Oreochromis niloticus: one gene and its partners. The protein of the gene in region 4 binds, or shares a complex with, the protein of the main gene of each other region. Links are inferred from orthologs where the notes say so. Each region holds a gene or a part of one and is shown on either strand. Other genes may lie near its edges. The genes, in order: sgf29, KAT8 regulatory NSL complex subunit 1, kat14 and wdr5.

Region 1 (7,878 bases), on a different chromosome or scaffold from region 4:
TGAATCTGGAATAAAAGTTACACAGAATAAACTCATAGAGGATAAAACATGAAAAGACTTTTATTAATCGGCGTTCCCTGAGCCGAGGCTGACCTGTCACAGACGCGCCTGTCAAAATAAAACCGTAAGCGGCGGCGCGGCGAGCCTCACCCTGTGCGGCGGCGTGTGGATCAGCGCTCGGTAGAAGCAGGTGGTCTGAGGGTAAAGGGCCAGCACCAGCTGGTCCTTACTGAACAGCGCCTCAGGGTCAGTCTCCGGGTTGGCTTTCCACTGCGGCAGAGGGATGATCCGCCGTCTGCTCAGCGTGTGCCGCCTGCTCGCACAGAAGAAGAAGAAGAAGGAGGAGCAGATTTGTCACTTTCAGAGAACAAGCTGCTGAGATTCTCCCACAGAGCCCGGCACAGTTTACTCCTCTGTGACAAGATCAACACACGTTTCGCGGTCTGAAACATACGAGCCCCGCCCACAATCACTGCATTCATTAATGAGTCAGAGGCGTGGCAATCAGGTTTAAACCGTCCCATATAAACCAGCCTCTGATTTTAACGTCTGTACACTGATATGAATAACGATGGAAACTGAAAATGGAGGAAATTTCACCGTGAAAGTCAACGAAAAACAGGCGAAGGGACGAAAATCTGCAGCACGAGAACGACTGTAAGAAGAAAGCCGAAGAGGAAAAGGTGGAAAAAAACATTTAAGAAGAGCAAATAAAGAAAAGCAGGAGAAGGAAAACACCGAGAAGGGACAAAGAACCAGAGCAGATTTAAAATCCTATAAACGCTCGCTTCTCGCTAAAGCTGGGAGTCGTTCTCCGGCCTCGCTCACAAACTTGCTGCAGTCCGAGCTTTAACGTGAAAGCCGTTCACGCTGTTCCTGTCAGAGAACATAACGAAGCAGAACTCACTCTTTGCCCTCCTCGTCGATGTCGTCCACTTCGTACCTGCAGGGGGAGCAGAGGAGGCGTCAGAGGCTGACGATCGCATTACACCACGCAGGCGTCGCCACAAACGGTCACGTGTTCTTACTTGTTGGTGGAATGGTTGTAGCTGACCACCTCAGCCAGGATCCACTGCTCGTCGCCCTCCACGCTCTTCACCCTCGCCGCCACCTTGTCTCCCTGTTTGGCCACGTAGTCGCTGCTCGCAGGGGTCGCCCCGCACAGAGGAGGAGGGCTGGAGAGGGAGGAGTCACAGAGAGGACGCCACATCAGAAAGTCAGCCGGAGCACACCTGAGCATCGGGTACAAGCTACCAACAATAGCCGGTGCCGCTCGCTGCTCATGGCGGGAACAGAAGAGACACTCGGAGCGTAAACGTGACGTCCTCGTTGTTAAAGATAAGATGCCACCGTTTAACGTGATGGTGAAAGAAACGCATAAAAAGCCTGAAATAAAGACGTGACCTCACAGGAAGCCTGGGCGGGGACACAAAGTTGCTCTTTAACACCATCAGGTGTTTCCATGGCGTTGTGGGGACGTCACTAGTGCCTAATATCGTGGCCACCAGCGTTGGGGCAGTACCACCTACCTCTCCCCTGGCTTGCCGATCCACAGAGGAAGTGTCATGGCCGACTGCTGGAGGAGCGTCATGAGGACACCGCGCCTCATCGTCTTCCTGGGAGGGTCACTGTCGCTGTAAACGCCCGCCATCTTTGCAGCTGCAGACAGACAGACAGATGAGTTTTGTGTCACATGAAATAGGAAGATGTGAGAGGCGGAATACCGGACACGCACCGATCCGCCGCTCCTCCAGCAAAGACTTGATTTCTGCGATCTTATCGAGGGCGTGACGCAGAATGCTGACAGAAAAGACACAAGAGAAGAAGAAAAAGGTGATTTTCACCCTCTGATCATCCTCACACTCTTAGTAAAAATGTGAAAACGAACAGGCTAGAAACCCGACATGAACGGAAACTGGAGCTCAGATTGTTGGATCGCCTGTTCGTGCAGTGACCTCACAGCAGCCATATTACTGGTCACATGATGTCATTAAAAAGGCTCCAACAGCACAGAGTCTCAGTCTGTACTCAGAGGAAATTACTGCTTATTGTGCTTCAGTCATGGTGTTCATGCATCTGTCCCCCTTTATTTTTTCATTTTTATAACCTTTATTTAAACAAAACAGTAACAAGCTTGAGACTGGAAGTCTCCTGTATAGCGTATAAGTGACATCACCATGATCTTTAAGGGTTAAAGGTCATGCTCAGTGGCCTCTCACCTGCACTCCGCCTCAGCGTCTGCCTTGGCCGTGGTGTACAGCCCCCTCAGCTTGGTGCGGTAGTACGGAGAAGCTGCAGGAGACACACGTCCACGTTTAGGACCACAAGACAAATTCAGCACATGTGCTCAAAGCTGCTGACACTCACTCTTGTTCTCAGTCTGCATCCTCTCGTGTGTTTTCTGGATGTTGAGCAGGTTGTGTTCACTGCGTGACCTCTCCTCCTGAAGCAGGCCGAGTGCAGGTAATTAGGATGTGATCAAAGCTTGACCTGATCAATCACAAAGGAAGCGGATCAATACTAACCTGTGTCTGTTTGATGAGCTGGTGGAGCTCAGTGAGCAGCTCCGCAATCTTGGGGTCAGCGGACATGATTTAACCTGTGAGGATGTGGAGCATCAAACAGCAGCGCTTAGTTACAACACACAAAACCTCATTTAAAAAACTTCTACTTTAAGGCGGTTTAAATGACGGTGAACACTTCACAAACCACAAATAGTCTGAACATTTCGATCACCGCGGTCATAACATACTGGAGATAAAGTTCCGAATTAATACTCGTATGCAATATAACTGAAGTCATGCTCTATGTGTGCTGGATGTGGCCTGGAAAACACGGTATGTCTTAAATAAATGATTTCTGAACGGAGTTTGATGTAAAGTTCGCTACAGACAAAAACGGCTCGGAGATGCTTCGTAACGCTAAAAATTGAAATAAAGAAAAACATTAGCGATATATATTCAACTCAGATAGATCATTGATCGGAATAAGCGTCATATTTCCCTCAAAACCAGCCCCCAAACCTCCTCACCGAACCACTTTCTTCAATTATTTGCGCTCAACTCACGAACCGCAGGTACTGGCCTTCTGTTCTTCTTCTTTGGTGCTATTTGTGTGCAGCAGTTTCGGTGAACACACTGCCACCAGCTGGGCGGAGTGTGGTACTGCAGACACGGGGCGCTTAAAAACGTAAACATTTTGCTTTAAAAATTGTATTTCTTTTTCTTGTACTTATATGACTTTATTATACCCCTTTGTAGCCATTCATTATTTATCTGTAATTTATTTGTGTGCAGTTATTTTGTGGTTTTTTAAAGATTTTTCCAGCTCTATAGTGTTATTTTTTTGTGTACAAACATTTTGTCGCTTTCCCGTTACCTGTGCTGTTTACAGTTGCCTCTGTGGTAATCTAGTGTTTCCTTGGAGGAAATTTGTGATCCTTTGTCAAGATATACGCTGGGGTAAGAAGAAGGAGACAGAGTGAGTTTAAAAATGGAAATTTACAAGAAAGAAATATTTAAGAAATATAAAACAGAAAATGTGTGTGTGTGTTTTTGTGAACCTGCAACTATAATGTCACGAATTCCAGTTTCTTCTCTCCTAGCCTGACCCTGTATTTTGATTTATGTTTTTTTGATTTATGGTTTACCCCCGAGAGGAGGGGTAAACCTTCCACAGATCACCTTCATGTTAAAAACCTGAATTTTTTTTTAAAAAAACAGACCAGCTTGATACCAGGATTCACCATGGCTACGAGTAAATGAAGAGCAGAGCCTGGATTTTAACCCCTGGACTGAGAAATGTGAGTCATTGTGGACGACAAACAGGGGAAAAGTCATCGTTTCCAGTCTCATGATAAAGATGGAGTCCAGGATTCAGCCGTAAACTGAAGATAAAGATCAGATTCTGGTGGACGTGTGATCCATGTGTTTGATAACTGCACACGTTCACGCTCTGCAGCCTCCATTAAAAGCATCAACGCTTTTAGTTTCCTCGGGTTTGTCTCCATCACTGCGATTGATTACAGTGATAGACAGATGCAGTGATTGATCGCTGATCGGTATTTCTGGGTCTGAAGCTTCATTAAACTCTTATTCTTGCAGTGAATGTTTCAGAGGAACACGTGAGGTCCACACATCGATCACTGATCGATCATAAATACAGTTCATTAAGATTTCAGTGTGCGAGCAGATGAAGGCCTCTGATTGGTTCTTTGATATCAGCTCCATGAAAGAGGAATAAACTTGTTCCAGGCTGAGGACAGAGAGTCTGTCACCGCTTCTGAAGCAGGAAATCTGATTTCAGGTCTTCTCTAAACCTGCTGTCTGATAGCGTCCCTTTCAAAATAAAATCCTGCTGACTGTTGTTTTTCTGTTAGAAGAAATGGGTGGTTATCTCTCAGGTGAGAGGAGGAGGAGCCTGTTGTCGGGCGTGTGCTGCTGGTGTCATCCGACACTGAAACAACTCTACAGGTAAACATCCTGATAGTTAATCATTAACGTCTGTGGCGAGGTGACCCGTCACTCTGAGGTCAGAGCGCCGACGTGCAGGAGACACTCAAAGGAAAAGCGCCACAGATAAACACAGCGACTCTCTACCTGCAATCCAGCTGTTATTGGTTTTATTTATTGATCCCTGAAGCAGTCAGAAGGTCAGCACACACCTGACAGATAATGTGGAATTACAGGGATTATTTCACATAACCATCATCTTTATCATTGCATTAATTATCATTTCATCCAAGCATTTATTGAAGTTGCTGGCATTATGTTATAATTTGTATTACAGGTGTTATCATAATCAAATATTAACATGTTTATTACAGGTGCAGTTAGAACAACTTAAATTGTTGAGTTAAATCTATAATCATAAAAGCTTATATGCTGAGTATATTGTTACAGTAAAATAGTAGCTGAGCAAAGGCCTGAATGTATTCAGCTTTTTGTTGCATTTGAGTTTGCCTAGTAACAGGTGACAGAAGATGGGCCAAAGAGGAGGACAAGTCCATGGGGACCTCATCACCATATTTGGAAAAGGATGCCAGAAAGGGGAACTCTTGTCTCTGTAGTTATCTCTTAAAATTGATCATTGTCTGTAGAAGAGGCAAATAATGTTCTTAAGATGCAAATTATGTGCTTGTAAACGCATGAGGGGGCGTCATAATACCCTGATGTTATAAAAGCAATCTGAAGTGTATTTTTGGGTGGGGATTTACAACTGATGGTTTCCAGTGTACGTCTCCCCACGCTGCGTGTATTCATTAAAAATCAATTGTTTGATCGACCTCTTTTGGACCATCATTGTTTTACTCTCGTCCTCAATTTCGGACCCGTAACATTTGGTGCATTGGCCAGGGTTGAGGACATAGAGTTGGAGATTGAGACCGAGAGGGTCCGAGGCGCTCGAACGGGCAGACACGAGTCAGTGGTCGAAGTGAGTGGACATAAGCCGGCTTATTCAAAGGTAAGGCACTACCTGTTGAATTATTTCCAAACAGTGCTGGATTGGTTATGACAAAATTAAAAGTCTACTCACTGAAATTACTGATAAATGTCTGCTGTGATTTTGGTGAAAATCTCATGAGAATTGAAGTTGAAGTAATGATAATAAAACGTTGAAAATAAGTAAAGAGTAAAGAGAATAAGAGAAAATAAGTAAAGAGTAAAGAGAATAAGTGTATTTAAAGCAGTTGAACTGCAGACTGAATTTAGAGTTATAGGTTATTGGCGAAGAGTTTGTGACAGTCAAGTCTTAATTGAATATAAAGCCGGGCTTGGACATCAATAACATTGCTTGTGTAATTTTATGGGGTGTCTTCAAAAGTAATTAAATTTTTGTAGTACGGGATTCTGGGAATTCTGAGAAGTGCATTGTTCGGAGGTGACGCTCCAAATTTCCTGGCGACGGTCAGGATTTTCCTTGGGAAGGGATAGTCCGATTGGCAATCGTGGGCAACTGGGGACGGCCCAAAATAGCTACTGACTAGGTCAGTTTACCGTCCGGGGCGGTGGTTTGCACTTTTTTGGTCAATAGAAACCGGGTTTTGGGCGTGTAACTTTAACTTAAAACTTCGGGGAAGCCTGGGATGTGAAATGCCCCTAAATAGAGCTTTTCAGCAGGGGTTGAGTTGGTTGACGCTTTTAAATTGTGTTAGGGCATTAGATATGTGACCACGGTCCGGGGCCGATACTGGTTAATTGATCGCAAAAAACTTGGAGTTTGTCCCTTGGAGGGTTAAGTTAAAATTTCGTCTAAATTCGGTAGGTTATGCAATTTAAGGCCTTGTAAATATTAATTAATTTATCAGACGTCTCTGTGTTATAATTTCTATGTTTGTATATAGGCTCTGTCTGCCACGGGCACTGCAGCAGACTGGTATTATTTTTAGATTGTGTGTGTGTGTGAAAATGCAAATAAGGCAGCTGGAAGGTCCCTAGAGTTTTAGGAAGTTTAGATAGAGACCGTACACCTTGCTGAATGGCTGTGTTTAAGACGCTTATTACAATATTGTAAGTAAAGTTTTTATTTCTTGCCATGACTGTATGACTGTTTGCTGGGTTTTGAGATAGGATACATAAAATGTTGATACTTATGACCGTTATTTGGGGTTTGAAAACTGAAATTGACTTTGAAATAATTTCATTAATAAATATGTCTGTAAGTGATGTCTCTTTTGGTGTGTTCAAGTAAGATGTTTTAGGATTTTTAGATGGGTTTCGTTTCAGTTTGAGATAATATACACAGTTACATTTGGTGTTCCTAATGTATTGTTGACTTTGAGTGATACATATAGGTGTAAGTCGTTTGATGTTTGTTGGGCAAAGGAGGACTTTAGAAGATTGTAAGTGGTTTTTTAGTCCAATAACATATAAGTAGTTAGATTTGACAGACTTGTTTACATTTTGGCTTTATGTTAATATAGGTTGCAACGGGCACAGAGGAAACACAGCACAACATCTTAAGGGTTTAAAATAATAATAAATAAATGAATGAAGTTTCTTAAGGGCTCTTGTGTGTGTTTTTAGGGATAGTTTTTTGTGGGTTTTTAGGGGGAGTGTGTGTTTGTGTGTGTAAAACGGAGATAACATGAAAACAGAGGAATTAGAGACTAGAATGTCCTAGAAGGCAATAAAATGCAAATTAAGAAGCTGTGAACTGCTTAAACCACAGTTGGTTTCACAAGTACTGCTGCAAACATTGTTGAATGCGTGTGTTTAAGACACCATTTATGTTTATTAGAGGGTTATAAATAAAGTTTTGAGTTGCTGTAGTGGATGTATAGTAAGTGACTGAATTTTGATAGATGTATATATTTTGAGCCATAAAGGCTGGTGTGTTTTATTTTTCAGTTATGTGTGTGTGGTGAGAAGTTGTGTGTGAGACGATGAGAGGTTTCAGTCTTCTTTTTTCTTTTTTTGACTTGCTCTTTCTGATCATGGAAGGCATGTCCAAGATACTCGTATGAAAGCGTATTTTGAGTGATTTTAACTGTGTGAATGCTGTCAGTATTTGATTTGAATGTCTCTGAATGATTTGTCTGAGTGAGTGAAAAAGGGAGAAGTTTGAGAGAAAAGGCAGTGGGTGTGAGATGATTATGAAAGTATTGTGCGAATGATGTGACAAAAACTGACAAAAATGCAAAAACTTAGTATATTTAAAAGTGTGTGTGTGAGAAGAGGGTGTATTGTTTTTAGACCAAGACCTAGTAAAACTAAAAGAGGGTTTGTAGACTGTAAATATGAAAAAACAAGTGTTTGATTAATTTGTAGAAACAGGAAAGAGAAACAGGAAATACTGTGCTCCTGTGTGTGTAAGAGGAAGGTGTGTGTGTGACTGATGATGTCAGGGGAGCACCCAGAGAAATAGACAGAGTTAAAT
Region 2 (8,298 bases), on a different chromosome or scaffold from region 4:
ACTGTTATTTGTTTAGTTTTTTGCTAAGGGAGGCTACATTTCTGCATCTACTCGCCCAACACTAGATGATCATGCTGTTACTCCAGTGTCTCTTGCTTGTCTGGTTTATCTTCTTTGACATTTAAATAAACAACTTTTAATAACATCCTGTGCACCAGAAGATAATCCTATAAACGACTCGTTGCACACTGACAGCCATTTTCCCACACTAAAAGAGAAATTCAACGTAGTTCTCTACTGAGAAGTGTTTTCGTCTAGAAACGGCTCCAATCGATGTCTGGGAAACTGAGCTGAGATGTTTACAAAGTTACATTATATCTTCTCTTGTCTCACTGCCATTTAAACCCATTAATAAATGAAAATGGAAAAATATGTGATTTTAGATTGTTTCAGTAACTCTGATCTCCTGATGCTTGTTAAGTAATAAGATGAATGCACCTCACTTATTCTAACAGGTCTTGCTGGTCTCTGAGCATGATCAGACTACCAGAAAGGACATGCATTGCAAACACTTCATTATCTGTGTGTCTGTGTAAATCAGAGGGAGGAAGAGAGCGATTGTTCAGAAAATTAAGGAGGAAATAATGGAGTGTTGCAGAGAGAATACATTTTTAACAAATATAACTGAATTTTAATGGTTATAGTGATAAATTTAGATGGAAAATCTGTAATTTTAGATTGGCTTTAATCTCTGATCATTTCTGAATTTTTTTTTCTTTTATAATAAAGAATATCATTTTCAAAAAATGTTTGTTGTTTTTATAAGAATATTACACTTTTTACAAGCCTAACTTTTTCAGTCAACCGGTCCTGTCACTAGTTTCATTTCTGAGAATTTCTGCATTTTTTTCTTGGAAATGTGATTGCCATTTCCTATTTATTTACCACTTTTAAAAGTGTGATTTTCACCTCCTAATATTACTTCTTCCTTTTGTTGTTGCTTTGTCTTAACCTAAAATGACCTCCGCAGGTCTTCATGGGACGTGAACTAAAAACATCACTAAAACAAAACAAACTGGCCGATCTGTGACTGTCATAACTGGCAAATACCCATCCATCCATTTGGTCCTGCTCCACGTTACAGCTGATGCAAAGATGTCTCAACTTCCTTGTGCTCCTCCTAGGCGATCCCTGCAAACTTCAAGGGATTCCCACACTTCCAGGGATATGTAATCCATCCCACTTGACCAAAATACATCCACAGGGACATGTCCACAGAGTATCCTAATCAGATGCTCTTCACTCGGGTCCTCAAAATCCAGGCTACTTATATCCCTGATGTGATCTTATCTCCAAAGCCATAGGGTGGCTGCAGCACCCCCTGGCTTTAAAATAAAGATAAATGCATATAACAATTATACCTTTAACTCCATTGTCGATGAACTCCATTCAATAATCCAAGGGATCATTTTTCCGGTTTCCACACATGAAAACATGACACCTAAAATGAAACAAAACAAACAAACAAACAAAAAATAAGATCACTTGAATCGTATTTAAAAATTTCAGACAATACATTTAACTATGACGGCGTAGTAGGAAAAGATACAGGGTTAGGTGATGTACGAGCCTCTAACTCTTGTGGAATTTTTTGTTTGTACATGTTGCAAGTTATAGCTGCTCCCTTATTCACAAGGCCCTTGTTGGGCCATGTTGTTGATTTGGCAGATTTTACTTTTTATTTTACTTCAGTTCTTATGCTAAATGCCAATCCTGATGCTATAGAGAAAGAAAATTGGAACTGGCAAAAAAAATTCCATAAATCAATCGATATCAGCACATTACACTAACTAAAAAAAGTTGTAAATTAACGAGAAAAAAAATGGGGCAAAATTTTGAGGAAAAAAATGGCAAACTTACAGGGGAAAAAACTGTGGAACTTTGGAAAATTGCCCAGTAAAAAATGGACAGAACAACCCTTAAAATTTGGGGCAATTTAACACAAAGAACAGCTAATTTACACAACAAACGTGTGGCTAATTTCTGAGGGGAAAAAAATGCAAATTAAAGAAGGAAAAAAGGGATATTCACAAAAAAAACCTGTAGAAAGTTTAATAGAAAAGCAACGGAGAATTAGGATTAATTTGCAAATCTGGGACAATTAAAAAAAAATGTAACAAACAAACAAAACGGAAAAATGAAAACAATGCCAGAATTATATGAAAAACAAGGCGCAGTGTAAGTAAAAAAACAAATAGATATAAAATTGGCACTGTATGAGAGCGAAGCAGGACGTATGTATGTATACATGACGTTTTTCAGTGCTGTACACTGTTGAGGGTCCGTGCACTCCTCCCATCGCCTGCTGCACGTAGACCTGCGCTGCAGCGTAGTGAATATGAGTTTGTAGCTTGTTGTCTGCCTTAACAACATACTTGGAAGGAGGTGTTATTGGTCTTTTATTACAAGGAGTTCAAATTTCTGATTTTTTTTTCAAGCTTAATGTTCAAAAGTGAAGCAAAGTCGCTCATTGACTAAAAATAAACACTATTTCTCCTATTTTTCTCGTTAATGCGCGACTTACATCTCGGAATTTGAGCGTTTTTTTCTGAATTATACCCTCTTCGCCCACCCCCCTATTTTTTTTCTAGGACTCGGTCTTAAGTAGCGTCTCCCCAGCTGTTTATTTTTATTTATTATTTATTTATTTATCTGAATGTCCTGCTGCCACGCTAACGCTAGCTAAAGCTAACATCCACTAACGTTATCGTTGCAAATTTTTATAATGAAAAAGTTTTAAATGTCGCCTAATGTCAGCACAGCGGTGTAGAAATTTAAACGTAAGTTTACAAAAAAGCGGCTCCATCACTGAACGCTGTGTGAAGGAATGCGCCACTGGAGATTTATGCCATAATCAAACAGTAGTTTCTCCAGTTGCGGAGCTAACAGGCTAATGTTTGGAACTCCCAGGCTGCCAGATAGCAGCCAGCTGAGCTAGCAAGAGATGCTAACGCTCGCTAGCTTGTTTGCTTCCCGATCCCACTCTGACTTCTCAATGACTGCTGCACGTTTAGCAGAAAAGTGCGCTTAAAAACTCCGCCAGCTCAAGCCAAACAACCGGGGGCTTAACGGAATGTGTGTTTTTTTCCTGCCAAGCGGAGCGTTCATTTATTTTAAGAAAATAACAAGACAAAATCTTACTTACCTGCTTGTCCTGTTACTAACCGTTTACGACTCCATAATACCAGCCCCCCCTGCGCTGCTATTGGTCGAGAGTCCAGTTCGAGGCTTTCTATTGGCTCCTGCAGATGTCAGTCTTTGCAAATGCCCGTACAGCGGAAATGTGGACGAAAGTTCATAGCATGAAACTTCATTATCCCAAAATATATTGTTTTTATTTGAAAATGTTTCACAACTTACCCGTCATTTATGGAGCACACCTTTTACTGCGCCATTACACGACTGTTCTCACTCAAATTAACTACACTGTCTCCCATTTTGATGCTTTGTTTTTGGGGACTACTGCTTAGAAATGAGCCACTGGTTTTCACTGCACAATAAAAAACCGCAAACATAAAGCTAATGGCAGCGCATGAGTTTGTTTACTATATTCTGTTGCATCGTATTTTTAAGCAGATAAGAGCTGGCGGGGTGATATTTCACCGGTGAAAGGCACAATAGCGGGTAAATCCCTCACAAGAATGGAGATTCACTTGAAGCTGCTGATGCTTACTTGCAGGCAACGGAGACAGGATGGGTGGATATATAAGTCAGTGAGGCAGCATTGTGCTGGCTGCATGAAAATCCAGCGGTTAGCATTGCAGAGGGACAAACTGTGGGGCTGTGTCAGTAAAGCTTAAATCTGACCTTTCTCAGGTACGTGCAGGGGGAGTGAAAATGACTCAGGAGCAGAGGCCTGGCTGAGGGTGAAGCCTTTTCAACATTTAGAGCAGGGGTGTCAAACTCATCTTAGCCCAGCAGCCACATGCAGCCCAGTTTGATCTCAAGCGAGCCAGACCAGTAAAACCACTGACAAGTTTCCCCTTTCTTTAAGCGTGAAGAAGCAGACTTTGAGCGCAGTCACCTGGGCAAGATTTTAAAAAGCTGAAACCATAAGAGTTAAGCAGGTCCCCATACCCCACTCTATTAAAAACAACCACAAAAGGCAATTTTTAAAAGAATAAATGCAAAAATAAAAATATATCCAAGTTACTCCGCATTCAGTGAGTACAGTGTAATTACATGTGCGTTACAATTTGCAAATCACCTTGGAAAAAACTTCACATCTGGAGTTTTTGTAAGTATACTGCTTCAGTATTTTACAGTTTTGTGGTTCAAACAACTTGAAAAACGTACCTTTTCATGCATTTTCATTTCTGTGTAGTCAGGCGAGCATCACCACATTTTACTGAAAAACTGCAGTTGTTAATGAATTCACAGTGGGACCAGTGGGACCATTTGGCAGCTGGTTCTGGCCCCTGGGCCACATGTTTAACCACTGCACTGTATGAACTTTGTAAGCATCCTTTTCTCCTCTTTTTTTTTAATTCAAATGTCACCATTTACATTTAGAAAAATGCATCTTTTGAGGAGGTATTTGAGGCTTTTCGCATTGCCAAGGCTTTTCATTCCTCAGCTGCTGAATTGATATATGGCTATCTTCTACGCCTCTTACACTGCACTGAATTTAAATATGAATTTCTATTCAAGCCAGTAAATTAATAATCTGGCTCCGAATGTGAGGCAGACCTTAGCCAACATCAGTGCTCGACCTCACTGTTGTTGGTAAAAGAGAAATATCTGGAATATTGTGTGCTCATTGATGGTCATGTGGTCAAAACTTCAGGGACACACATGCTTCACTTATCTACACATCTATGAGATGCGTCTGTTATTCTGAAACCAAATACATCTACAGCATGAGGGTAAAAATTAACTCCCTACAGACCAAAACTGTGGGCCTGACCCAGAAAATCCTTTAATAAAAAAGTGCACCTGTCCAAATTTAAGAAGCTGGAATCCTGACCAGAGTGCAAGACCTCCTTTACCCTTCTCCCTTGAAAATTTGACATAATATTACCAGGCATTATTTTCTTGTTAATTTTTTTTTCTTGTAACAAATGAAAAGGTGCAATTTCAGCTGAGCATTCACTGAGTTTGCTGTCATCACATGGAGACATACATTAAACTTTAGAATGAATACAACACTACTTGATGTCTTTATGACTCAAAAAACGTGTCTACATCTAGAAACACTTTTGACTTCCCATAAATTTTGACACTTAAGTAGTAGTGGAAAGCCATTCAGTGGTCCAGTTTTGGCAGGCATGAAAAGGATGAAGATTGGAAAGGTGGCTGGTCCAGATGACATACTTCTGTAGGTATGGGGATGTCTAGGAGAGAGGGCAGTGGACATTTTAACCAGGATGTTTAAGGAATGAGGATGAGCGTACTGGTACTGATTTTTAAAAACAAGGGCGATGTGCAGAGCTGTAGGACCTGCAGAGGGAGGAAGTTGATGAACCATACCATGAAGATACAGGAAAGAGTTGATGAAGCTAAGTTAAGAAGAAAGGTGATGATGGAGAAGTATAGAGAAGGTCAGAAGGAGCTTCACTGGGTGAATGAGTGAGAGACAGGTGTAACAGTGCAGTTGCTGGAAGCAGAGGTAGTGATGGTGAATAAGTTTAAATACCTGAGGTCAACCATCTAAAGCACAAGGGAGGTGACGAGGAGAGTGCAGGCAGGGTGGGTTGGGTGGAGGATGGGTGTTAGGGGTGATTTGTGCCAGAAGGAGCAAGAGTGAAAGGGAATGTTTACAACATGGTAGCAAGACAAGCAGCGATGCATAGTTTGGAGACAGTGGCACTGACAAAAAGACTGGAGGCCGAGCTGATGTTAAGATTTTCTTCGAGAGTGAGCAGGATGGACAAGATTAGTAATGAGTACATCAGAGGGACAGCTCAGGTCGAGCAGTTCAAGACAACGTTAGAGAGCCAAGGCTGAGAAGGGCTGGACATGTGCAGAGGATGGAGAGTGGATATAGTGGAGAAAGGATGTTGAAGATAGAGCTGCCAGGCAGGAGGAGAAGAGGAAGACCTCAAGGGATGTTAATGGATGTTGTGAAGGAAGACATGAAGAAAGGTCACAGAGGACGATGGTAGGGATAGGGTGGGATGTAAGCAGAGGATCTGCTGTGGTGATTCCTAAAGGAAATACCTGAAAGAAGAAGAAGAAGAAGGAGAAGAAGAAGAAGAAGAAGAAGAAGAGGGCCTGTTCTGAGCCCCGTGTTGGATGTTTGACAGCCTGGATATATTACAGGGCAGTCAAATTTCTTGAAATCATCCACCAAATTTTAAACAGGACCTTACGTGGACTTCACTGCACTATGAAAACACTTTATTATTCACATGACATGCTCACATTTTCCAGCTGCATTATCATTGTTTTTATCTTTTTCACCTTTTCAGTTTTCTCAATTCTTCCTTTTCTTTGTCTTTTCTGCAACCTTTCCACCTTCATTTCAGCTCATCCTTCCACCCAGCTTCACATACGCACTTTTAGATTATGTACAGTGGCACAAGAAGTTCATGTTTTACTTATTATTATTTATCACATCCTTTATTTGTGCAGTAGATTTTTCAAAAGATATGCCGACAAGAGGGCAGCTGAGATTATAACAACTATAAACTTAAACAATCAGATAAATACAGTGTTAACATCATTTCAACAGGGTTAAAACAGATAAACAAATAAAGAAACTTCAGTAAAACTTTATCATCAGATCAATAAATAAACTCGTATGTGTGAGTGCTGTACTGATTTTAAATCAGTCTAAGGTTTACATATAGACGTACAGGAATGACCGTTTAGTGGCTGCATACAGAGAACAGTGGTGGTCTACCAGACTGCTTTAGCCAGTAATAAAACAAACAAGTGCATAAAGTCCAGTTTGATTTAAATGGGTCACATAAATAAGCCTGTTTAATAAAAATATGTTCCTCCAAATAATGTATTAGTAAGTGGGCTGGTTCTTGTAGAGCAATTTTCTATTCTACTCAAGTTCTCAAAGTGATTTATACAACTGACCTCATTCGCCCATTAACACAAGCTTTTCTCATTAACATTCACACCCAGGGGTTCACTTGTATCAGTATTACATCCAAGGATACTTTGGTACAGGGATACAGGAATCAAACCATGAGCTCTACGGCCTGAGCCACAGCCACCCACCAAAAAAAAAAAAAAAATCATTTTCATAAAGTGCAAGTTACAGTAATTCAGTAAAGGAAGAACAGCTGAAGAAATCAAGTGTTTCTTCACTTGGTGATAGAAACAGGAAACCTAATAGGAGGCTGTCACAAAATGTTTTTGTTTTGACATTTAAATGGTTTGGGTGTCTGTCTATCTGCATTAACACCAACTTAAGTAGTGTTAACTGAGAATTAACACCATTAGTCTTCAGGATACCGTTATCATAATGCTCTGGGCTGAGGAGCATATTTCAGTTAATCCTCTGGAAAGTTCATTTTCTTTACCTCATTTTACCATCGGTGGTTCATCTGATGTGTTGGCCTCATAGGAACATGTAAATGTAGTTATAGGGAAACAACACTAGATGGCGCTGAGACATCACACACATCACCTGACTGAAGCTGGGCCCTGTAAAACTGTCACTCAGATATTCACTATGCACAAATGTGCTACTTTTAATTTGCTTTTATAATCAGCATCCAAGCATATAATGCCTGACTGCATGCATGGCGAGTCTTAAACATGTATAGGGGGATGAAATTCAGTTCTGTTACATTTTTATGTCATTAAAACTGCATCTTCATTTACTTACAGCAGTTTGCAGTTATAGTTAACCACAGGAAAAATTATAAGTGCGTTCAGCTACAAAACAGCTTGATATAATCCTTTACTTAAATGTGTTTCTAAGTATTTATTGAGCTAAAAAATATTAAATTCCCACATTTTTCCTTTAAACGCCTCTTTAGGTAGATTTAACTCTGTATAATCACTTTTCTCAGACCGCTGAGCAAAATTGTTTAATATCTGCAGCATATTCTTCATTAAAAGGATATTTTCAACTATAATACTAATGAACTGAAAAATGCTGCACCAAAATCCATCTCACACCCAGAGGAGCAGTCAAAGACTCCTCACAGAAAGTCCAATTTCAGCAGTCGTACTCTTTTTTCTGCTGAATTTTAATTTGTAAATTGTAATTAGATTCTTTTTAATTTAATTTTAGAACAGTTTCCACAATTTTTCAAGCAGTAACAGAGACGTTTCCCTTTGGGGGAAGATATGAAAGTTTTTCTTGTTCTTATTCTCAATGATATTTTTAGTTTT
Region 3 (7,805 bases), on a different chromosome or scaffold from region 4:
AACAGCTGATCTCCTCCTTCTAATATACCAGCTGGTCTGATGAGGCCCAGGTGTTCCCAATCCAGGAAGGCGTGGACCGAGGGCGTGAAGCCGCCATGAGTTCCGGCAAAACAGGGGAGAGAAGGAGAGAGGGGGAGAGAGAGGGAAAAAGAGAAGAGAAGGAGGGCTAGGAGTGGAGAGATTCTGATCAGCACCTTGCCGATCCTGCAGGTCGTGACACCAGGACTATCACTGTCCGGGCCAATCAGAAACCATGGCTCACAGGTCAGGTTTAAATGCTCCTAAGGTTGAAAAATGCAAGCCTTCAGAGCCGGGAATTAGGTGAGCCTAAGAACAGCAAGGGCAAACCTGTCACGTGGCATCAGCTACAGCAAAGCTTCAGCAACAGTAGAGATACTTGGAGGCAGTGGCAAGGAATACAAACCATCACAGACTACAAGCCCACTCTGCAGACCGTGGGGAACAAATCCCCAGACAGTGTGTGGAGATCCCTTGCCAAAATCAGTACACGCAAAGCTCCAGGTCCTGATAACATCCTTGGATGAGCACTGACGGACTATGCTGTGGAACTCACAAATGTTTTCACAGACATCTTTAACACATCACTAGGGTCAGGCCGCCGTTCCCACATGCCTCAAAGCCTCCACCATCATTACTGTGCCCAAGAAGTCATCTACCTCCTGCTTTAAGGACTACCGTCCTGTCAAACTCACCTCCATCATTATGAAGTGCTTTGAATGGTTAGTCATGCATCAAATCAAATTATTGCTTTCCCCCAACCTGGATCCATTTGAGTTCGCATACCGGTCAAAACGCTCAACCGATGACGGAATTTCAACTGCCCCTTACTCAGCCCTCACACATCTGAACACTAGAGACTCGTATGTCAGAGTGCTGTTCATAGACTTCAGTTCAGCCTTCAGCATCATCATTCCCCAGCAACTCATTCACAAACCGGATCTGCTGGGGATCAGCACCTTGCTGTATAACTGGCTGCCAGATTTCTTGACAGGAAGACAGCAGATAGTACGCTCGACAGCAACACCTCCAGCCCAAGAACACTGAATACGGGGGCTCCCCAAGGATGTGTGTTGAGCCCCCTTCTCTTCACTCTGCTGACCCACGATGAGATCTACTACAGGGGTGAAGTTAACCATCTGGCAGAGTGGTACAGCAACAACAACCTGTCCCTGAATGTGGAGAAGACCAACAGCGACTCTACTTCCTCTGCAAACTGAGAAGCACAAGAGATTCAACCCCCATTATGAGCACCTTCTACAGAGGCACAGTTGAGAGTATCCTCACCAGCTGCATCACTGTGTGGTATGACTCCTGCACTGGGTTCTGCAGGAAAAAATAACAACGGGTAGTGAGACCAGCTGCACCTGCCTCATCTGGAAGGTCCTCTCCATTACAGGTGACTCCACTCATCCCTTCAGCAGCGTCTTCAGTTTACTCACGAAGGATACTGAAGAGCCTCCGGGCCAGAACACACAGGCTGAGAGACAGCTTCGTCCATCGGGCTGTCAGGATGCTGACCATCTCTGAATCGAGAAGGGGGGCCCAAGGGTACATCTTTCGCCATCCTACAATGCTGTGATTGTAGCCATTCCCCACTTTCTGTGAATGGTACTCATGGCCATTGATCAGTAGGCTTTGATTAGTTGTCATTGATCAATGGTCATAAGAATTTGCATACTAACAATCATGGAACTAACCCCCCAGCACATTGTTCATGTTTACCTTTTCATTAATATCTTTAAAACAGAAGCAGCACAAATGACAATTTTAGCAGCACAAACCAGCACAAACGTTTGATACCACTTTTGTTGGATTCCATTAATGTGGGGGGGCTGGTTGTACTTTGATGACCTGTAGAAATTTTTATTAATATCTTTAAAATGATAGCAGCACAAACGAAAATGTTTGCAGCACAAACGTAGCACAAACGTTTGGTACCACTTTTGTTGGATTTGAAGAAGGTGGGGGGGCCAACTTCACTCACATACCTAAACGTAAATGTGAAGTTTAGATTTTACTCCATCTCCTCCTCTCCTAGCCTCCACCTCCAAACCTTCAGTTTCACTCCTGCTGCTCTCCTGTCATACTCGTCTCCACCCGCTCCATCCTGCCTCACCTCTCTGTCGATGACGTCTTCTACAGCTGAGGGGTAAAAACTATAATACCTGTGGTGAGCATGCTCAGAGCTGACTGGCCCGACTGATCGGCCAATCAGGCGTGAGAAGATCTGAGCTGAATTCAGTTGTTTCACAGGTGGAGGTGTGAGTGGACATTAATCAACAGCCGATGGTTGGTGCTCCACCTCAGAGGTGGAATAAACTGCCATTTCCACTCCAAAGACTCACATAATGACAGTCGAGTCAATGATTCTCAGGACCGTCTCAAAGGTCACTACCTCACTAAGTGTCACGTACCTGGGACTCACTCTGAGCTGGATGCAAGGCAGGAGGAGGACGTGGCGATGTTAGCTAAAGGTGGCCTCAGGTGTGACAGCTCAGGTTCTAAGTGCCCGGCATGGTCATGTTACCACTTTCACAGCTTTTGACTCAGGCACGGCGGAGGAGGAGGAGCTGTTCAAAGAGCATGCTCCCTCCATGTTTGCATGTTCCAGCTGTGACCACGCCCCTTTTATACAGTTTATATGTAGTTCAGGACCGCAGCTTTAGCAGGCTCAGCTCCGTGATCACGGTTCCCTCACAGCGCTGCAGTTCACGCCCACGACATCCGGCCTCACACCGTTAAGGAGAAAGAGTGTGAGGTCGTTCCACTTCTCTTCTCTTTTCCTAAGTCCTCAGCAGGAAGTGAGGAAAGGAGACAGGAGATACTTCACAACACACTAACACACCCTGCGAGTGTGATGCAGGGAGGACAGGTGAGGTCCTGGTTTTCACCTTAACCTCCTAAGACCCGAACTCTTCCACGACATGCATTTTTAATTTCTCTTTGATATTTGGGCATATTGGGGCCCAATGAATGTAAAAACAAAGAATTTCCAGATTTTTTTTTTTACCTTATTTTTGTTTTTAAGAAAAATGAGAGCCACAAATGAGGATATTCATTTAAAATTTTGATAGAACAGTAGCAGTATAATGTCCTTGTAAGTGGATATCAGGCCCATGTAGAGCAAAATTGAGTATTTTGGTCAAAATAACCAAAAATGTGATGTCCACATATGTGGACGGCAGGTCCTAGGAGGTTAAGAAGAAACAAACGAACATTTTTGGCCTTTTTGGCCTTTGATTCTTTGACGCGAGTCTGCGTGTGTGTCACACTCCGGCCGGTGGGGGCGGTGCAGCTCCGATGAGCGTAGAAGAAGAAGAAGAAGACCTTAGCCGCCGCTAGCCACTGTTAGCCGGAGCTGAGACAGCGTGATGTCCGCGGTCTCTAAGGTGGTCCTGGGAGTGTCCGTGGTTCTGACCGTGAGCACCGTGGCCGCGGTGCACCTCAAACAGGCCTGGGACAGAGAGGTAAGCCGAGCCGGGCTGACATCTAGCCTCCGTGTGCCGGAGCGGGTCACGGGGGCTAACGAGGCTAACGCTAAAGCACAGGTGGTGGTTAAACGCAATTGAACGGACACAGGTGACGTCACACAGACGTTAAAAGAATAATAATAAATAAACACGATAATGACGATAAACAGCAGCCAAAAACCGCTTCCTCCAACACTTTTCAAAATAAAAGACTCAGATGGCTGGTAAACAATGATAATCATCGTCATTCCTTACATTTATGGCTCAGTTAGCTAATCAGGCGTTATCTGAGTTAACGTTAGCTCAGGTGAGTGCAGAACATGTGACTGACAGAGCTGCAGTGGCGTCAGATGTTTCATTTCGGATTCTGTGACGCTTACAGGTCTGCCTTTATTTTGGAGGTGCGTTTTCTCTCGGGTGACCTCTGTGAGGTCACGAGTCCTGCTGTTAAATAAAACAAAGAAACAGAAAATCACACACCTGGGTTTAAGGTGTTCACATCATGGGAACAAAGCTTCGGGCACCTCACCTGTGACATCTGTTTCAGTAATCAGTGATCAATAATAATCACTTTCTCCAGCGCCTTACAAGAAACACAAGAACGCTTTGCAACACAAGTCAAAAAGGTCAAAGGTGTAAGTTTGTGTGGCAGAGGTGAGTTTTCAGTCCAGCTGTGAAGCTCATATGGGAGAGACTCCACACCAAAGCATCGAGCCCTCATAGGTGTGGATTCTGTTACAAGGGACCGAAAGCAGACCTGACTGTGTACAGGTGCTGAGGGGCGGAGCACTGAGGGATTAATGAGTGAGAAGCAGGATCTGTAAGTGAACCAGTGGAGATGAGCTCACATGTCCTCAGAGCTTGATCAATGATGAGTGGTCACTGTGTTTGTCGTGCAGCGCCTGCGTGAGGGCGTGGTCAGGGATCTGGAACGGCTCGAGCGCAGGAAGGAGAACCTGCGGCTGCTGGAGGAGCAGCGGCTGCTGACCCGACAGCTGGCGGAGGAGAGACGAAACCGGGAGGCCAGGCTTCACCCACAGGACACCTGAAAAAGGTAAATGCTCTCATGCACCTACCCTATTGCATCCCCAAGTCTCCTTACGACCAGGTCAACTGTAATGTTTCTTCTCTTGTGTAGACTGCAGTGGTCACCTGCCCAGGTGTGCCGTACCTGAAGCAGGAGGATGGACAGCAGTGGCGAGCAGCTGGTGGGTGGGGAGGACGAGGCGGCCTGCACGTCAGCGTCGGACGGTCTGGAAGAGGGGGAGGTGGAGGGCGAGACGCTGCTGATTGTTGAGTCGGAGGACCAGGGCTCCGTGGACCTGTCACATGACCAGAGTGGCGACTCCCTGACCAGTGACGTGGGTGAGGACGCCGACGGGGGCTGGGCCTGCGAGGACATGTCCTTCTACTGCGACCGCTGCCACAAGTGGATCCCCGCAGGTGAGCTGGCCAATTGCAGCGCTCCGTTTCTGACGTGACCGACCTTCTCCAGTAGGTGGCACTACCTGCTGCCGAGCAATCTGAAAATGTGACATCAGCAGACCGCATGCCACCGATTGGCTGGTCAGGTGCACCAGTCTGTGAGTCATGAGAGCGAGTCTTTCGGGAAAATTGAAACCTGCGGCCCACGAGTCTGACAAAATGCCACGGACCGAGCAGGAGGAATGCCATCGCCTCCTTTGTTCTCGTTCATGTCACACACAAGTGACGTCACAGGATGCTCGGCCACGTTGCTATAACAACCCAACGCAATCAAGTCTGTGGGTTCCCGGCGACACCACAGTTGTAGCTACGCGGTAGGACAATACGCTGAGAGCGAAATGGCGGGAACAAAAGTGATCCAGACGCTCCCACCGCGTGCCGACCGGTCCGTCTCACGTTGCACTCATTAAAGCTGTCACGTGAATCAACAGTCGTACCCGCTGAACTCTAAAGCGAGATCTGCACCTCTGTGCGCGGCAGCTTCCTCCACATGGCCCCACCTTCAGGTACGAGCTCCTCCTTGAGTGTGCGTGAACGCCCTTTAGCCCGGCTCCAGAACACGGCGTGAGCATGCTCTCAGTTAAGTGTCACATGATGCGATGGATGATCACATGATATGAGCCTTAATGTGACCTCTGACCGTGATGTAAGCAGGTATGAGAGTTAAGGTGAGGTCTGATGTGGTGTGGGTGGAGCCAGACAGGAAGCTGTTAGTCCAGCTCCTCGTCTGCAGCTTCATGAGTTGAGAGCAGGCACTGGTGGTAACCTAGGAGACCCCCAGCAGGTCTGCAGCAGCAGCTGACTCTGTACCTGTGATCGTCTGCAGCTCAGCTCCGCGGCGAGCAGCCGAGCTACCTGAAGGGAGACAACTTCTTCAAATTCGTCTGCTCCGATTGCTCCGAAGATGGCAAGGAGAGCTTCGAGAGGATGAGGCTCACCTGGCAGCAGGTAGGACTTTAGCCCCGCCCACACACACAGACACACACCTCAAATACTCGGCGTGCTGACGGCAGCTTCTTCCTGTGGCAGGTGGTGATGTTGGCCATGTACAACCTGTCTCTGGAGGGGACGGGCCGGCAGGGCTACTTCAGGTGGAAAGAGGACATCTGCGCTTTCATTGGTCGACACTGGAACTTCCTGCTGGGCTCGAGGTCGATCGCAGACAGACAATAAAGTTTTGGTCTTTATCGATAACGTGCCGGCGCTCACATTCGTGTTGCACTCTTCTTTGCAGGAAGAAGACATCAACCTGGTGGAGCACGGTAGCGGGCTGCCTGTCGGTCGGAAGCCCCGCCTTCTTCCGCTCTGGAGCGCAGGAGTTCGGTGAGCCCGGCTGGTGGAAGCTGGTCCACAACCGACCTCCAACCCTCCGACCAGAAGTGGACAAATCCGTGACAAAGACTAAAGGTAAGCCGTGATCGAACGCTGGCGCCCAAGTGGACGGTGTTTGTTGACCTCTGACCTTGGACGCTGTTTACCCACAGCGTCCAAACCCGTGCTGGACCCGATCATCACCGTGGAGGGTCTGCGCAAACGCGGGGCGCGGAACCCCGTGGAGAACGCCATGCAGCTGAAGGAGAAACGCTCACGCACTCAGGAGGCCAAAGATATCCGGCGGGCCCAGAAGGAAGCGGCGGGCGGATACACGGACCGTAGCGCCGCCTCCACGCCCGTCAAGCTGGGTGGAGGCCGTGGTGTGGGTGGTGGGCAGCGCCCAGATCTGGTCCTGGAGAAGGGTGAGGTCATTGACTTCTCTTCGCTCAGCTCCTCAGACAGAACGCCGCTCACCAGCCCGACGCCATCGCCTTCACCTGACTTTTCTGCCCCGGGAACGCCAGCCTCGCATTCGGCGACGCCCAGCCTGCTGTCGGAGGCAGACCTTATCCCTGACGCCATGCCGCCACAGGCATTGTTCCACGGTGAGGTACCACCTGATTGGTGCAGGGTCATGTGGTTTTATGTGATGTAACCGCTGATGGCGCGTTCTGCTTCCTCCAACTCAGATGATGAGGAGATGGAAACAGAGGGGATGATCGACCCGGGAACCGAGTACATCCCGCCTGCCAGTGCCAACCTGGGCACCCGCAAGAAACTCCGCCCGCCACCGCCTCACATCAAGCGTGAAGCAGAGAGCGAGGAAGACGAAGGCCGCGAGCGGGAGGGCGACTTTGAAGAACCCGTAGGACAAAGTGAAGACGCCCCGGTGTCCACAGGCGGCGGTGGCGGAGGACCTGAGCGCAGAAGGACGACTCATCCAGAGAACACTGACAGCGCTGCCGGCAACGCCCAGAGTCCTCGCTATGCCACCCTCAGTCTGTACGAGGAGAGGATGCTGCTGCGACGGCTGGACGCTTGCCCGCTCGCGTTGGCCGTCACGCCGCAGGCTAAACGCCTCCACAGGAAGTTGCTGGTTCGCCAGGCAAAACGACAGAGGAGGCTCCCCCTGCTGGACATCGACCAAGTGGTCAGCGCCACCCTCAGCCTGGTGGGAGGAATCTATGGCGCCCAGGAGGCCGGATCACAGATCGGCGGCGGTGTGAAAGGGAAATACTGTACCAGCAGCCAGGAGCTGCGGATTCTCGATCGCTTCCAGGTAACGCACACACTTCCTGTCCGTCCATGTGACACGCCCACGTGCACCAATCGCTGCAGCTGATGCAGTGTTCACACTGTTCGCTTCACCTGTCCATGTTTTACAGACCGGCGTCTCCGGCAGACGAGGCGTCCAGCAGCCGTCCGTGTCTTTCTGGCATCGTCTGATGGGAGCTGAAGGAAGCCTGGAGCAGACCATCAGGAGCCCCTACACCTCCCGCCTCCTCAAACCGTACA
Region 4 (7,733 bases):
GAAAAAAAAAAGGTTCATCCCTTTGAGTTATGTGGCTTTACAAAAGCAAAAAACATTCTTCTGAAAATGGTCAGGAACAAGGCCTGGACTGAAAATGCCCAAAGAAAATTTTGAATGACCTTCAGAAAGCCTAAAAACACAAGACCTTTTTAAAAATTACAAGAAAGTCTCGCTCCAAATATGGGATGGCTCAAGAGTTTTTCATAGGACTGTATATTTTTCCTTAATAATGTTTTTTAGATGTTCCAACTCTTTTGTGCTGTGCACATTTCATTTATATAAAAAAATGACAATCAATTACTTACATGAACTAACCTAATAGTTGTAGTTAGTGCCACTACTCTTCAATCGCCACGCTGATACCTGCCAATCACTCATCCAAAATCATGCTCATAAATGTGCCACAGCCAATCATGCTTTTTCTTATTTATCTTTATAATTCTTCTAGAAAGAAGATCCCATGCCAGATAACATCACTAGACTCCCTACTCCTGGATAACTAAAATAAAAATAACCAAAACTGTTGGTCAAATATTCTATGATGGTAATATACCTGTGCAGCTTGCTAAAATGTATGCGCAGCAAACAGAGTTCAGTATTATATCACACATTTCAGCAGAATCATTTAAATAATCTCCCATCTTACCGAGCTAACGTCCCAAATCTTCAGGGTTTTGTCATCTGATGCAGATACCAGGAGGTTGGAGTCAGAGGACCAGGCCACATCAGATATACCCTGCAGATTCATGGGAACTGATCAGGACTTGAAGCTCTGAGAACAGCTAGCATGGGGCCAATGTAAGAACTAATGGAACCATGGCTTGGCTCTTAGTAACGACTCCAAACATCTGATCCCAATTGACTAAACATCAAGGATGCTACAGTTGCTCTACGTAAGTCCAGCCAATAAAAAACAAAACCATTAACACGGCAGGAGTATAGCTGAGAATTAGTCAAACTCACAAGTTTGTGTCCAGATATGGTTTTCTCAAACTTGCCGTCATACGCGCCCCAGATTTTGATCAGTTTATCAGCAGCTGTAGAGACAGAATGAATACGCACTCAGCATAGGTAAAAAAACAAAACAAAACACATCATCAATCTTAAAACTCAACAAGAAGCTGCAATAATTTATTGATAATTATTAAGTTGTGAAAAAAAATTGGTATTTCCAGCAGTGATTTTTACTCACATGAGCTGGCGAGCCATTCTCCACTCGGACTGAATTTGACAGAGGACACAGCTTTGGTGTGGCCCGCTAATGTGAACTTCAGGCTGTAGTTTGGCTTTGCAGGTGCCGACTGTAAGTGAAAAAGAAATACGACATTTAACAACTCTTGGCTGAGATGTGACAAATACACTAACATTCATCTAAGTCTATATTAAACAAAATACATTCTCTTATGAATCCCAACTATGGCTATTTCTTGGCCCTAAAAGGCTACAGCTGGAACAGAATAGTGATACTCCAAAAATTCAAACCTTGCTTTGGCTGGCAGATGCTGACGGCGCTACTGGAGGTTTTGTGTCAGTCTCTGGTTTCTTGTCTTCAGTTGCCATGGTGAGGAAATTAGCATTTACTGTGTACTATCCTAAAGCAGAGGAAAAAATAAATATTGAAATAAATACAAGAAGACATTCTTTATGCCACTGGTGATGATCAGTATATCAGTTATAAATACCAATGAACACATATAACAGCGAGCCTCAGTAACCTTTCAAGAGGTTTGCATGAACAATATCACTGACAGCCTGGATAATATGATTACATTTTTCAAACTGTCTCTTTCACGCTCAGACACTTGGTGACTGACAAACAACTAGTTTAAAATAAGTTTAGCCAAATTAAACTTCCCTTTCAAAACAAAAACTCAAAAATACTAAAGCCACTTTTTGAAGTGATAAAAGAAAAGATTGTATTTATAAACTTCACTACTGCGTCATTAACTTGATTTATAACTACTACTGTGTAAATGCCTGTCAATGTTTATGCCTAAAATAAAATAAGACACATTATACAATACAATTCGTTCGCTATTAAAATGACCATTCAACACATGTTTCTAGCTGTTTTTTCATTGAACTTTTTTCAAATCAACTATTTTATGCACCCAATAAATCTTACATCTTCGAAAAAGCTATTCTTAGTTTCTGATAGGTTTTCAAGCAGCAGATACACTGGCACACTCAAAATTTCTTCAGAAATTTTCTAGTTTGTGTTTATTTATTTATTTACACGATGACTATGCAATTTTTTTCTAGTCTCTAAAATCCTGATATTAAAGTTAGTCAATGTAGACCTATAAATACATACATACATACATACACACATATATATATATAGATATAGATATATATATATCCCTGCATTAACTGCAACATTCCTTGACAGTCAAGTTGAAACGAATTTTAGACTGAATATAGTCGACATTTAGTCTGATAGTGGTATTAAAATCCAATGAAAGGGCAAACCTCTTTCTCCATCTCACATGACAACAATGATATATATTGCATAACGCCAAAAATGCACAAAGTATATACGAAACCACCTTGGTACATTAACTTTACATTAACAGCAGTTTAGCTCACGATGTTTCCTTTTAGTTTTATGTCCCTCATATGAGCTGCAGTTTTTGCTAAACGCCGCATTTAACCCAGTTGGTACCGGCTGCAGCTATTTTTTCTTGTTCGTGTTGCTGCTTTCTCATTTAGCTCCAAGTTTAGCCATTTAAGCTAGCTTAAGCTAGCTAGCGTTGCATTACTTCGTTGTGGCTACTTAAAACCACCAAACAGAAACGCATATGCATTCAGCTAAGACTAGATGGCATCTGTTTGCAATATATTAACATGAATTCGCGTTTAAATGGAACAAACGTGCGAGAAAAGAGAATATCAAACAAAGGGCGATACGGACTCCCTTGGCTGGAAAAATTCAACTCTTGACTATGATCGTATTTGAACGACAGCTAGCTACGCTGTTATATCACTATTCAGATGTTTAACCGTCAATCATAACGCCACGTTAAAACTGGTGGTTTTATATAAACGCTAAAGGGTATTTGATGATGCAGCCGCCGCTGCTCGAAATGCACTGGTGCTGTTGACAAACTGGCTGAGGTGCCATGGAGGGGCCCTCCATTCACACAATGAGGATTCAGTCATAAAGACGATACTCACAGATTAATGGAGCTTCACGGTCAGATTGTTACTCCTCGTAAACACACGAAAGGGTAAAAAAACACCATGTATGTGTATTCAGACGATCATGGAGAACGTATACAGCAAGTGACTTGCTCTTGGATGATTGCCTGTAGGGAAAGAGAAGCGGGGAATGTGGTGTGCTGTGGCTTTGCGCATGCGTGTTACGCTCTTCTTCTTCTTTGGTTTTCACGACGGGACGCAAACCAACGTGTTTACGCGCATACTGCCACAATCCATTAAACAGAGAGTTTTGCATGTCATTCATTATTATATCTTCCATTTTTATAAAACAGTATTAAACAACTGTTGATAAAGACGTTTAGAGAAGGTCAGGAGGAGTTCCATTGTTTCTAGAGAATATGGGGCATATGATTGGGTACAAGAGATGAAATGTGGCAAAGAAATATGTTAAGGTGGTGGAGGACATCTAGGAGGACAACAAGACAGTGGTGTGGTGTGCAATAGGAGTGACAGATGGATTTGAAGGAGGGGTGGGATTATATCAGGGATTGGCTCCAAAACCACTTCTTATTTGCAGTGGTAATGGACAGGTTGACTGATGAGATCAGGCGGGAATCTCTGTGGACTATGCTGTAGAGAGAGTATAGAGCAGGTGGAAAAGAGTCCGGAAAGGTGTAGGTATAAGATAAGATAAGATAAGATAACCTTTATTAGTCCCACACGTGGGAAATTTGTATGAGCATTTAAGTCCGTTTGAAGCAAGACATATTAAATATGTGTGAATGAGAAGGAAACACATGTAACATTGAAAATCCAAAGAATAAAGGTAGTGAAGGTGGATGAGTTTAAATGGTAGTTTAAATCAGTGCACAAGTGAAGAGGAGTGTGCAGGCAATGGTGGGATCAGGATAGCAGCACAAGTCAAAGGGAAGGTTTAGAAGATCATAATGAGACCTGCTATGATGTATGGTTTGGAGATGGCGGCGCTCATAAGAAGACAGGAGGTTGAGCCGGATATGGCAGATGTGAAGATGCTGAGATTTTCATTGTGAATTACCAGAATGAACAAGATTAGAAATGAGTACCTGAGAGCAAGGTTGATCAGCTTGAAGACAGTTGAACAGTGTGTAGAGAAGGGGTAGTGGATATACTGGACAAAGGATGTTGGAGATGGAGTTGCCAAGCTGGAGGAAAAGACGAAGACCTCAGAAGAGGCTAATGGATGTAGTGAAGGAGGACATGCAGGGTTGGTGTGGCAGAGGAGGAAGCTAGACGCAGGGTTAGGTGGAGGCTGATGATCCACTGTGGCGACACCTAAAGGGAGCAGCCGGAAGAAGAAGAAGAAGAAGAAGAAAATCAATGCTCTTCTCTCTTGGGATCATTACACTTTCGGTCATTTTGGGTTTATTCTCGACACCCTCCGACACAGCAGGCGGCGGTATACGCTGTTAACTTTGGCTAAAAAATTGGTCACAGAAGCCTTCGACGAAGGGGAGCTTGTTACTTGAAGCCATGCCCGCAGCAGGTTTGTGTGGAAGTTTTCAGCTGGTCTAAGCGCAGCCAGGAGTTACCGTATCTCGACTTTTTACTCTGTTTGGCCTTCGGTGCGGTGTGAACGGTCTTAAATAGAAACTATCATTTCAAAGTACCTTCATAAGAAGAAAAAACGTGTTGGTAAACACTCGTGACTCTCCCGTCATCCTCTGCGAAACAAGTTATGTGGTACATGTATGTGTTGCCGTTATCTGAAGGTAATTGCGAGCGTTCAGGTAACAGCGACTGGCGTCCCTATAAAAACTTTGTAAGTGGTAAGTTAACCGCGGCAGAGCAAGGCCCAACTGTAATAAACAAACCCCAGTAGGCACTGCACAAGATACTGTGGTGGGTTTTTTATTGCTCATTTGCAGTGAAGACTTATATTGGCCATGCGCCCATATAGGTTTACCTTAACCTGCTAGCCAAGTGAAGCTAACGTGCTGAACGTGACTGGTTAGGTTTCCCAAGAGCTGGCCTCCTGATTATTTAACTCTGTCGTGCTCATTTAAAACTTGACAATCCAATTCTTCCTTCTTACTCCGTTAAGTTAGCATTATATTAGTTGACTTGTATTTAATGGTATGATATTACATGAGCTAGGGTTGAGATTTATACCGCGTCTGAGATCATGCAAACTCTTACTGCCTTCTCCAGTGGCGATGTTTAGTAAAATGAGCAAACGAAATAAAATTAGATTTAAAGAAACATTTGATCTGGAATAAAGGAAAAATAGATTTAAATGTTAAAATGGATAAAAAGTAATATCACCTCACTAAAACTTGAAGTTAAATACATGAAATGTATTTAGTCTTCCCCAGTTTGGTTTTATTTATTGAGAAAAGGATGCGTTCACAATAATATGTCTTGAAATATAATGTGTTAACTTAGGCCAACAAAATATAATAATATTTGAAAAATAAAGTTTTGTAAGCTATTTAAAAACTAAACTGAAATGAACAAAGCCTCTCTCAAAATTAATTGAAATGCATTAGAACTGCAAATAAAATTGAAATAAGAAAAAATCGAAATCACCTGCTCCTTTCTGCTGCTCCCTTTAGGGGGCCCCACAATGGGTCATCTCCCTTCATTTCACCCTATCCGTAGCACCCTCCTCTGTCACACTAACACTCTCCATGTTCTCCTTCACTACATCTAAGAATCTCTTCCTTTGTCTTTCTCTTTTCTTCATACCTAGCAGCTCCATCTTTATCATCCTTTGTAGCAACCTCAGTCTAAGCTGACCCTTTCATGTACTCATTTTTAATCTTGTCCATTCTAGTCAGTCCTAATGACAATCTTAGATCTTCACCTTTAACGCCTCCAGCTCGACCTCCCGCCTTTTTGTTAGTGCTCCAAACCATACTTCATATCCCGTCTCACTCCCATCCTCTAAACCTTCGCTTTCACTTTTGCTGCTATCCTCCTGTCACAAATCACCCGTGACACTCGTCTCCACTCACTTCCCCCATCTTCACTTTCTTCTTCACCTCTCTCGTGCACTGTCCTTTGCTTTTAATGGTTGACCCTCACTGTCACATGCATCCTTGTACTAACTTTGATTCCTCTTCTATCCGATGCATACCTCCATCTCTCCACCTTCTCTAAATATTAAAATTAGAATAATTGCAGGCAGATTGCTAGACAGCTAAATAAACATAGCTGATTCCAACACCATCAGTGAAACAGCCTCTTAAATTTTGTCAGTGTATTTGCCAAGAAAACATTGCTCAGTTCACATGCCCACTAAACCTTTATACACCCTCCGTGTCTTCTGCTTATCTGAAGCCGGGTTGCAGTATTCAGACATCCTTCTCCCCAGCCACTCTTTCCAGTTCCCCATGGGGGTCCCAAGGCATTCCCAGGTCAGATGAGATGTATAATCTCTCCAGCAGGTTCTGGGTCTACCCCAGGGTCTCCTCCCAGTTAGGTATGCCCAGGAGCCTTTCTAACTAGATGCCTGAAATGCCTCAACTGCCTCCTTTCAGCATGCAAGGAAAAGAGCCTTTATACAGTCATGTGCATTAATTACTAATCAGATTGTTTTACATAATAATAAAATGAATGTGATAAGCTTCAAAAGATATGAGATATAGTCTGTTTTTGAAACTATATCAATGGTGTGAAGTAATCAGTCGCTTCCTCTTTTTAGAGTTTTATATTTGATATTTGGAGAACCACATGATCATAACAGTCTATTCTTTTATGTCAGCAGGCCACATTGTGTGGTTTGACGATTCCCCAGCCTGCGTCATGCATAGTTTTCACAGTGTGTGACAAGCTGTCAGGTGAACACTACATGACTTACAGAAGATAACAGAACCCAGAAGAATTCGTGCAGCCACCATGTCCGCAGACACCAACCAGGACCCTCCTCAGCTTGTTAATCCCCCACCTCCCGAGGTGACCAATCCCAACAAGCCAGGCCGGAGGACCAACCAGCTGCAGTATATGCAGAACATAGTGATCAAATCCCTGTGGCGGCACCAGTTCGCCTGGCCTTTTTACCAGCCTGTCGATGCAGTTGCTCTTGGACTGCCAGTGAGTAGTTTGCACATGTTCAGCTGACAGGGTTACAGTGCATCAAGTCATTTTTATGGGTTTTTCACAAGTCATGGTACAAAAATGACTTCAGCCTCAGGATTGCAGGGCTTTTCTTCAGTTAGTTGCACAAGTAAGTCATAGTTTTGCTCATAATGAAAATATTTTTTATTTTTTAATTCCACAATGTCCCCGTTCTTTATGCAAAAGTGATGTTAACTGGGCATGATCATACTGTTATATGATCTATTTAGCCATTGTTGTTAAATATACATTTACTGGTAGCTGCCAGCAGTTTTTTCCCCTAGGTATATATAGATATATTTTTTGTAGTTTTCAGATACGCTAACTTGCTTTGTGCTGCTGGCTCTGTCTGTTCTTCTTTTCTGAAACTACTAGATCTTCTTTTCGTTTTGTTATTCTCTCACTGTTAATATTAATGTTGTCTAAGATATTTTTTTGTTTTTCCTCCCTTTTATTTTTGTTCCTAATTCTCA

What was found.
Region 1: wdr5 (region 4) and sgf29 share a complex: the UniProt entries of both Homo sapiens proteins name them as parts of the ADA2A-containing complex. The link is inferred for Oreochromis niloticus from reciprocal best matches to the Homo sapiens genes WDR5 and SGF29.
Region 2: wdr5 (region 4) and KAT8 regulatory NSL complex subunit 1 share a complex: the UniProt entries of both Homo sapiens proteins name them as parts of the NSL complex. The link is inferred for Oreochromis niloticus from reciprocal best matches to the Homo sapiens genes WDR5 and KANSL1.
Region 3: wdr5 (region 4) and kat14 share a complex: the UniProt entries of both Homo sapiens proteins name them as parts of the ADA2A-containing complex. The link is inferred for Oreochromis niloticus from reciprocal best matches to the Homo sapiens genes WDR5 and KAT14.

Annotation. Positions count from the first base shown.
Region 1 is NC_031969.2:33,667,622-33,675,499, forward strand, and holds the start of sgf29 (SAGA-associated factor 29), read right to left. Parts: upstream 3,176-7,878; 5' UTR 3,032-3,175; intron 2,600-3,031; 5' UTR 2,592-2,599; coding exon 2,526-2,591; intron 2,444-2,525; coding exon 2,368-2,443; intron 2,293-2,367; coding exon 2,220-2,292; intron 1,801-2,219; coding exon 1,736-1,800; intron 1,660-1,735; coding exon 1,530-1,659; intron 1,176-1,529; coding exon 1,029-1,175; intron 944-1,028; coding exon 908-943; intron 314-907; coding exon 151-313; coding exon of another isoform or gene 112-150; exon of another isoform or gene 94-111; intron 6-93; exon of another isoform or gene 1-5. UniProt on the Homo sapiens protein: Chromatin reader component of some histone acetyltransferase (HAT) SAGA-type complexes like the TFTC-HAT, ATAC or STAGA complexes.
Region 2 is NC_031973.2:4,610,856-4,619,153, reverse strand, and holds the start of KAT8 regulatory NSL complex subunit 1, read right to left. Parts: upstream 3,217-8,298; 5' UTR 3,146-3,216; intron 1,442-3,145; 5' UTR 1,362-1,441; intron 1-1,361. UniProt on the Homo sapiens protein: Non-catalytic component of the NSL histone acetyltransferase complex, a multiprotein complex that mediates histone H4 acetylation at 'Lys-5'- and 'Lys-8' (H4K5ac and H4K8ac) at transcription start sites and promotes transcription initiation.
Region 3 is NC_031971.2:41,838,326-41,846,130, forward strand, and holds the start of kat14 (cysteine-rich protein 2-binding protein), read left to right. Parts: upstream 1-4,641; 5' UTR 4,642-4,675; coding exon 4,676-4,934; intron 4,935-5,802; coding exon 5,803-5,924; intron 5,925-6,005; coding exon 6,006-6,127; intron 6,128-6,210; coding exon 6,211-6,383; intron 6,384-6,460; coding exon 6,461-6,895; intron 6,896-6,979; coding exon 6,980-7,569; intron 7,570-7,675; coding exon 7,676-7,805. Other genes in the region: protein PET117 homolog, mitochondrial, read left to right, coding at 3,393-3,488, 4,391-4,540. UniProt on the Homo sapiens protein: Component of the ATAC complex, a complex with histone acetyltransferase activity on histones H3 and H4. May function as a scaffold for the ATAC complex to promote ATAC complex stability. Has also weak histone acetyltransferase activity toward histone H4.
Region 4 is NC_031972.2:29,230,872-29,238,604, forward strand, and holds the start of wdr5 (WD repeat-containing protein 5), read right to left. Parts: upstream 3,367-7,733; 5' UTR 3,178-3,366; intron 1,593-3,177; 5' UTR 1,561-1,592; coding exon 1,483-1,560; intron 1,302-1,482; coding exon 1,193-1,301; intron 1,038-1,192; coding exon 964-1,037; intron 737-963; coding exon 647-736; intron 1-646. Other genes in the region: bromodomain-containing protein 3, read left to right, coding at 7,042-7,236.